2 linked regions of the Macaca mulatta genome follow. The protein of the gene in region 2 binds, or shares a complex with, the protein of the main gene of each other region. Links are inferred from orthologs where the notes say so. Each region holds a gene or a part of one and is shown on either strand. Other genes may lie near its edges. The genes, in order: RANBP3 and KPNA4.

Evidence for each region.
Region 1: the proteins of KPNA4 (region 2) and RANBP3 are in contact, whole or in part, in a crystal structure (PDB 5XZX), measured with the Homo sapiens proteins. The link is inferred for Macaca mulatta from reciprocal best matches to the Homo sapiens genes KPNA4 and RANBP3. Residues at the interface, in NP_002259.1 of Homo sapiens: Arg96, Leu99, Ser100, Asp102, Arg103, Pro105, Phe133, Trp137, Thr140, Asn141, Ala143, Ser144, Gly145, Thr146, Ser147, Thr150, Glu175, Gln176, Trp179, Gly182, Asn183, Gly186, Asp187, Asn219, Trp222, Val225, Asn226, Arg229, Asp261, Trp264; in NP_015561.1 of Homo sapiens: Asn114, Tyr115, Cys116, Pro117, Pro118, Val119, Lys120, Arg121, Glu122, Arg123, Thr124, Ser125, Leu127.

Annotation. Positions count from the first base shown.
Region 1 is NC_133424.1:6,857,198-6,861,596, reverse strand, and holds the start of RANBP3 (ran-binding protein 3), read left to right. Parts: upstream 1-1,333; 5' UTR 1,334-1,350; coding exon 1,351-1,372; intron 1,373-4,399. UniProt on the Homo sapiens protein: Acts as a cofactor for XPO1/CRM1-mediated nuclear export, perhaps as export complex scaffolding protein. Bound to XPO1/CRM1, stabilizes the XPO1/CRM1-cargo interaction. In the absence of Ran-bound GTP prevents binding of XPO1/CRM1 to the nuclear pore complex.
Region 2 is NC_133407.1:63,694,438-63,698,248, forward strand, and holds part of KPNA4 (importin subunit alpha-3), read right to left. Parts: intron 2,536-3,811; coding exon 2,366-2,535; intron 2,276-2,365; coding exon 2,231-2,275; intron 1-2,230. UniProt on the Homo sapiens protein: Functions in nuclear protein import as an adapter protein for nuclear receptor KPNB1. Binds specifically and directly to substrates containing either a simple or bipartite NLS motif.

The sequences.
Region 1 (4,399 bases), on a different chromosome or scaffold from region 2:
TCTGTCCCTAGGATGGTGGCAGTGGCACTGTTGTCATAGCTCACTGCAGCCTCAACCTCCTGGGCTCATGTGATCCTCCTGCCTCAGCCTCCCGAGTAGCTGGCCTGCACCACCACACCCGGGTAATTTTTGTGTTTTTGTAGAGATGGGGTCTTGCTCTGTTTTCTAGGCTGGGTTTGAACTGAGCTCAAGAGATCCTCCCACCTTGGCCTCCCACAGTTCTGGGATTACAGGGGTGAGCTACCGCATCAGGCTGGTTACATTTTTAAAAGACTCCTCAGCCTGCGGCCATGGGCAGAACAGAGCCTGGGGCTTCCAAAGAATGCAGCAAAGTCCAAGTCTTCCATGAGACTGTCCAAGTCTTCCATGAGACAGATAGGGACGATGTGGCCTAGGGTGGTGACAGCCTGGCTGGGGAGAAAGCGTGGATCTGGGCTGTATTTTGGAGGCAAGGCCAGGTCCGAAGGATTTGCTGACAGATTCATAGCAGGTGAGTAGAAAACAACTCCAGGGTGTCCGGGACCCTCCCATGAGCCTTGCGAGTGAGGCTGATGGTCCCATTTTCCAGATGGGGAACCTGGAGGCGCGCGGGGTCCAACACCCTCCCATGAGCTTGTGAAGTTGATTCTCGTGGCTCCGAGGGGTCGAGTTCCACGCGCCGGGTCCCCCCTGCCCCCCGCCAGCACCTGCGTCCCAGGGCTGCGCTCCCTCCTCGCGCCTGACCACGACCCCCGCCCTCGCCGATGAGCTCTGATTCCCCCCAATCCCAAGCACCCCGCGCCCTCTCGCCACTTCCCCCGTGGTTTCAGGAAAGGGTTTGCTGAAGGTAACGGCTCCTAAGGCGGGTAAACTGAGGCAGGAGGTAACGCGTCTCCCGCCCGCGCGTGTGGGAAGCCGCCGCAGGCCCGGGGGTTTACCTGGAGGAAGACCTCGGCTGAGGCGTCCTGAACTGCTCACTGTCCCACCGCGGGGGATCCCCGGAAAACGAGCGGGAAAAACGAGAGCCTCAAGACCCGCCTCGCGCCGCGCGGCGCCGCCTCACTAAACTTTCGTCGCTGCCACTGCGCATGCGCCCTTCCCGGCCCTGTCCCCGCCCCCTCAGTCGGCGGGAAAAGGAGGCGGGAGACGGCTCGTGCGCAGGCGTGTGTTGGGAGCGCGGCTCCGCAGGGCAGGCGGCTTGGCCCGGCAGGCGATCTGAAGCTCGCCTCCGCGCGGCGCTCAGCGCGCAGGCGCGAGCTGGCCGCCTCACAGGGAGTAGGCTTGTTAAGTGCGCACGCGCGGGAGTTTCTGGCAGAAAGCAGGCGAGCCTGGGCCGGCGCGGGGCCTTGTGGGAGGGCTTAAGGAAGTAAAATGGCGGACCTGGCGAACGAAGGTAGGGGAGGCGCCGTCGGGGACCGGCTGGCGGCCGGGGAACGGGCAGCGGGAGGACCAGAGGCCACAAGCCTGTGGGGGGAACACCGCAGAGTGCAAGGGTTTCGTCCGCTTCAGGCTAGCACCCTGGCGGGCCCTGCAGCCGCCCCCTATTGCCTCCCCTCAGGTCGGGCTCACCGGCCCGGCCCATCACTCCCGGCAGCCTCGGCTCCTGCAGCCGTTTGGCTAGAGGAGCCGGGAGGCCGTCGAGATCGCAGCCCTAAGGGCCCTCTGCGTCGCAGCCAAGCTCGGGGCTGAAGGGGGCGGGAGTAGCGGCCCCAGTGCTTCGGCCACAGATGTAAATAGACCTTGGGGCCTGGTCGTGGCCCGGAGCGCGCCACGCTCCCTCCCCGCCCCCTCGTCCTCCGCCACCCGACGTCTCCCCTTCCCCGGCCTGGCTGCCTATCTCCTGAGCCCGTGAGGCCCTCGTCCTCCGCGGACCAGCCGCACACCGCGGCCGGAGGAAGCCCAGGCCGTTTTCACCGCGTCCCCGCCCCGAACTTCGGCCCCCACTTCCCGCCAGTTCCCCCCGGATCCTTCGGGGCGCCTCGTCTCCCCCTCATTTAGGCCCCGCCGCAGGATCTGGGCCGCCGAAAGCCCTGGCTGCTTTTTGGTCCTTTTTGCTGCGCTTCCAGACAGAGACCGTGCGAATCCCTCCTCTGTGGAGCGCTGACAGCCCACCTGAGTGTTTTTGACAAGGTTACACTTCCAGATCCCCCGAGAAGGCACCGTAAGGCTGATGTCTGCTTCCATCCACAGTCGTGTTGCCATGGCTGTAGCTTCAGGACTTCTGAGGCCTATTTTTAGCTCCCCCTTCTTCTAGTTGCACAAATGCAGGCAATCTCTCTACCTGTCTGGCCCTGATTCCCTCATCCGGTGCTCCCTGTAGCTGGAGAGTTTTCCATCCCGAATTGCACTAATGAATGAATTATGATAGGAAGTGCTCGGTCTTGTGGAGCATTTAGGGTAGTACCAGTTAAGGTGCAAAGTCCTGACATACTGTTTTCCCTGGGAGGAGGTATAGATACTGTTAGCCCCATTCACTTGATGAGGAAACTAAGTCAGCCTGGTTACGTCGCTTATCCAAGGCATGTCACACAGCTGGGAAGGAGCAGGGATGTGAACCAAGGTGGCCTGGCTTCAGATGCCAGACCACGGGGTCTCGGACTTTTAAAGATTCTGATTCTGTGTGGTGTTGGGCGGGCGCTGGGCATCTGTACAGGAAGCAGCACAGGTGGGCTCCCTGATTCTTGGCCATTTTATTCTATTTTATTTTTTGAGACGGAGTCTCGCTCTGTTGCCAGGCTGTGCAGTGATGTGATCTCGGCTCACTGCAATCTCCGCTTCCCGGGTTCAAGCGATTCTCCTGCCTCAGCCTCCCGAGTATCTGGGATTACAGGCGCGCGCTACCACATCCAGCTAATTTTTGTATTTTTAGTAGAGACGGGATTTCACCATGTTGGCCAGGATGGTCTTGATCTCCTGACCTCGTGATCCACCCGCCTCAGCCTCCCAAAGTGCTGGAATTACAGGCGTGAGCCACTGCGCCCAGCTGCTACATCTCTTTTTTTAAGATAAAGGAGCCCGTGGAGGGTTGCAGCGTTCCAACTCATGAGATCTAGTTACAGAGGGAATGGGTAAGTGGGAATCAATATGACATATTTTATGTATTTACATCCTGAGCCCATATAGTTTCTTGAACTCAGGACTCATGTCCAGCATCACATTTGGACATCTCCATTTGGATGTGTCATAGGCTTGTCTGGAGCATTTCCAAAACAAAAATCCTTATCTCCACCACACCCACCCATCCCATGGTCTTTCACCCATTGTAGTTAGGCAGATCCATTCTTTGAATTCCTCAGGCCCCAAACCTTGGAGTCATCCCTGGTTTCCCTCTTTCTCATACTCCACAGCAAATTCTGTCATTTCTACCTTAAAATTATTTCCAAAGGGGGACCACCACTTCTCCCCACCAAGACTGTCAATGCTTGGGCCCCTGTTCCCTCCACCCTTACCCTACTGAAAACTTCTCAACCCATAGTGGGCCCCAGTGCCTCCCTGTCCTTCTCTCTCACCACTCTCCGCTGACTTGCTCTGTGCTAACTACTCTAGCTTTTTCAGTTTTCCTTGAATGTTCCATACACTCCCCGCTTTTAGCCTTTTCTCCTACTGATTCCTCTAACTGAAACAGTTTTCCCCCAGATACCCCCGTGGCTCACTTCTTCTGGTTTTTACTCATATGTTACTTTATTAATGAGAGCTTCTCTGGCCACCTATTTCAAATTATATCCACGTTCTCTATTCCGTTCACCTAGCTTGATTTTCCTGTACAGCTCTTACAATCCAGCATGCTAGATGTTACTTGCATGTTTGCCTCGTGTACGCTCCATGAGGTCAGGGATTTTTATGTCATGATCACTGATTACCCCCTTGCATCTAGAACGGTGCCTGGCACAGAGTAGGTATACAAGAAATATTGGTTGAATGAATGAATGAATGAATGAATGAATTCACCAGTGAGGACCCTGTTGTGAGGAATACATTTGAGCACAAAGGGAAAATTATGGATTGCCCTTTTCCAGGGGATACTCTTTCTAGCATATGCGGTACACGTGAGCTGTTGGTTGTAAATGGCATAGTTGAACTGGTAAGGGCCAAAGAGAGAAATGGAATGTTTTGAACTTCACTTTTTTTCCCTAGTAAATGCCACACTCACCTAGCACGTTATCCCTGACACTAGTTCAAGGATCGCTGTCTTGAGGAAATCAAACCTTGGTGGACTTTGTGCCTCACATATTCCTGCAGTCCTTTAATCAGTCATGGTGTTTCTTGAACACTCCATTTCTGGTTTTGGCTTGTACAGCCTGCCAGGATGTTTAATTTCGTATTCACTGTGTAAAGTGGGGCCTCCTTGCCTGCGCCTTTTGAAGTTTTAGGGACTGCCCCATGGTCATGTGTTTGCTCTTGCTGTTTAAGCTCTAGTCAA
Region 2 (3,811 bases):
ACTACAGGCGCCCGCCACCTCGCCCGGCTAGTTTTTTTGTATTTTTTAGTAGAGACGGGGTTTCACCGTGTTAGCCGGGATCGTCTCTCGATCTCCTGGCCTCGTGATCCGCCCGTCTCGGCCTCCCAAAGTGCTGGGATTACAGGCTTGAGCCACCGCGCCCGGCCGAAAGCGCTAAAGATATTTCTAATGTAAAAAGAAGATATCAAACAAAAGAGTTTGCACAGGCCGGGCGTGGTGGCTCACGCCTGTAATCCCAGCACTTTGGGGGGCCGAGGCAGGTGGCTCACGAGGTCAGGAGTTCAAGACTAGCCTGGCCAACATACTGAAACCCTGTCTCTACTAAAAAATACAAAAAAAAATTAGCCAGGTGTGGTGGCGGGCATCTGTAATCCCAGCTACTCTGGAGGCTGAGGCAAGAGAATCGCTGGAACCCAGGAGGTGGAGGTTGTAGTGAGTGGAGATCATGCCTCTGTACTCCAGCCTGGGTGACAGTGCGAGACTCCATCTCAAAAAGAAAAAAAAAAAAAGAGTTCACCCAGAAAGAGTGGTATCAACGTATGTGAAAAAACCTAAATTTCAATTTGCAAATGTAACTGAGTTTCTTTTCTGGAATATCAACATATGCTAAAATTTGTTGACATAGGCCAAAAATTTCAAGTTACTTGCTCATAACTGTATATAAAAGCTAGATACATGTTTTTAAAGGACATGTCACTAATATGCTCAGATCAAAATCAAAATTCAAATCAAACTTCTAAAACATTATTTAGTAAGCAATATTATTTGTTAATCATGTTACTAAAAAGAATGATGCAAACAGACTTGAGAAATTCTTCAAGAAACATCAAAGGCAAGAAAATAGAGTCACAATCTCATCTAGATTGGAGGAAATAGGTGGAAAGAACACAATACATCTCTAAATAAAAGTCAACCAAGATGTCCTGTTTTCCAGTAGAGGTATAAACTTTGAAGTTAATCTCTCTCTCTCTTTCTCCCTCTCTCTCTCTCGACAGGGTCTTGCTCTGTCACCCAGGCTGCAGTACAGTGACATGATCACAGCTCACTGCAGCCTTGACTTCCCAAGCTCAGGAGATTCTCTGGCTTCAGCCACCGAGTAGCTGAGACTACAGGTGCACACCACTATGCCTGGCTAATTTTTTTGTATTTTTTATAGAGACAGGGTTTCATCATGTGGCCCAGTCTGGTCTCGAACTTCTGCACTCAAGTGATCCTCCTGCCTCAGCCTCCTAAAGTGCTGGGACTATAGGCATAAGCCACCACACCTGGCCTCTTGTAAATCTTTCAAAGCAAAATATTATTTAACTGTTTGATACAGTAAAATTCTAATTTTAATTTGTTCCAGACAAATTAAATTCTGGCCAAAAGGTACAGGCCTTTAAATTGTAAAGAAATGAAGCAGCTTGTCCAACACTGGTCACCATGCCAAACTGTTTTTAAAGAACCACATGAGTTCCTGATTGTTGCTAAACATTTCATTCATATGTCTTCCCTTACCCAGTATATTCCTGGTTTCTCTAACACACCAAAGGCTGGTCTGGCTTTTACAAGCACTCAGGGCAGTTTTCCACCTCATTCATACTCCCTGAGTTGCTTTTTCCTCTGCCATCTGTGTTAGTAAAAATAAGCAAAATATATTTGCTATGTTTAAAATCTTGCCTGCACTGATTTTTTTTTCCTTGTTGTTTGAATAATCAAGAGTTATCTTGATAAATGAAGCCACTGCCAGTCACTGTAACTGAGAAATAGAATAAAAAATGGAATTAAAGGGCAATTGATGTGCATGGTTTGGTATGTGTATATGAATACAAATCCATGCACAAACATTTTCCTTTCTCATCTTTCAAAAAACAAAAATAGCACTATCTGTGTGTGCTTTCATTGGCCAAACTGTCAAAATGAGCTTCCTTTATAAAAAGCACATGAACAATCAAAGACACGATCTTAGTAAGAGAAATCACTATTAACGGGCAACTTTAAAAACTTTTAATGTCAGTTTTTACAACACATATATATATATACATACATTATTGCCCACACCAAAATAACAGTTATGCTTGATTTCTTAACTGGTATTATATTTCGTGATATGGGAAAATCTGACAGTATGCTGACACAATGTGTTAGTACAGTATTTCCCCCCTATGTCACAGGGGAAGCCCTAGAAATACATACATACATAAATATATAATGGGACACATTTACTCACATTTACGTCTGTGTGATGAATTAAAACACAAAGGGCTGGAAGAATCTGAGGAGAGAAATATGTAGATTTAAAAACATACACAGATAAAAAACACATATATAATGGTATCTCTTTTAATTTTTTTTAACTGTTTACCTCCTGAATGGTTTCCATTGGTGGTGGTGGGTCTTTGTGGCGACATAAGTTGACCATAACCCAAGTAACATTTCTTAAGAATGTTATAGGAATAGATGGACTTATGAAGGAAAGTAAAGGTTTCACAACTCCAAGACTTATGACATAATCTCTACACTGGGGCCCATCACCTGTAGAAAAAAAGGATTAACTCAATAAAACATTGACAGTAAGCATTTTCAGAAAACACGAAGCACTGGGAATACGCTGCTTCATGTATTTTAACCAGATACACTGTTCAGTTTTAGACAATAAGCAGGCTCCCATTCAAGATTTCTGAGCCAAGAGAGGCAACATAAGGTGATAAGGTATTTTTTTGCACATTATTCCCATCTTCAGCATTTTGCTGCTCTCTTAATTAAACTGCTGCTTTTAACTTCTCTCTCAATATTACTCTCGGTTTAACAAACTTTCATGTGATAAAAAAGATGTATCAAGAAAACATTTGTTGAATTTGTACTTACAATCCAGTATCAGAGCATCAAGGTTATGAACTATAAATTACTCTATACACTTAGAAAACTATGTCAGAAAAAAAGGGTGAACCAGTGCTAGAACAGTGGTTCTCAATGTGATTACTGGGCTCTAGCTCAGGCCTCCTGAAGCAGAAACTCTATGGGTCTGGAATTCTGTTTTAACAAGCACCCCATGTAGTTCTGATTGCATGCTAAGGTTTGAGAACAACTGCTGCAGAGAACTGACAAGTTTAATTTCTGTATCTAAAGCATCACTGCAGTTTCTAATATATGAAGCCATGTTAAAAGGTTACCATAAGTGAAAACACCTTCGCTTGCACTATAATATTTGGAAATAAAATGTTTGTTCTTTTTGCATCCATATATTCGTGTTAATTACAGAATGTGATTGGAATAAAAAATGAAAGATCAAGATGCTGTATAATAGCTCTAAATCTAACATTTGGTATAAAAGCAAGAGTGAGGGACTCTGGATATAGAAACAATCGCATTCCTAATAGTATAAACCCAATGTCGAGAATGGTTTACAGGGAAATTCTCCTTTTAAAACTCATAGCCACTCCTTACTTCCATGTTAGCCCTGTGTAAGGGCAATAAAGAGGTGGCATATCAAAGTAACAATGATTATTTCCATGCAAGAATAAAGAATTTGGCAAAAATAATCTTTAGAATCATTCTCCTTCACTAGATTAGCAAGACCCCTACAAACAGTACCTCAACCCTCACGCATAATAGTTAGGTCTCTGAGCTATACTGGGGCACAATACGATTCAGATTTTTCACATCCTTTACTGGAGAATAGTTCTTTGAATTTTTGAGTTTAGGCTCTAGTTAAAAAAATAAATCCTTGAAATATCAGAATTGTCTTTATTTTCCTTACAATTATTTATTAGACAGAACCTGAAAGTTATGGTAATCATGGTGTTAAATA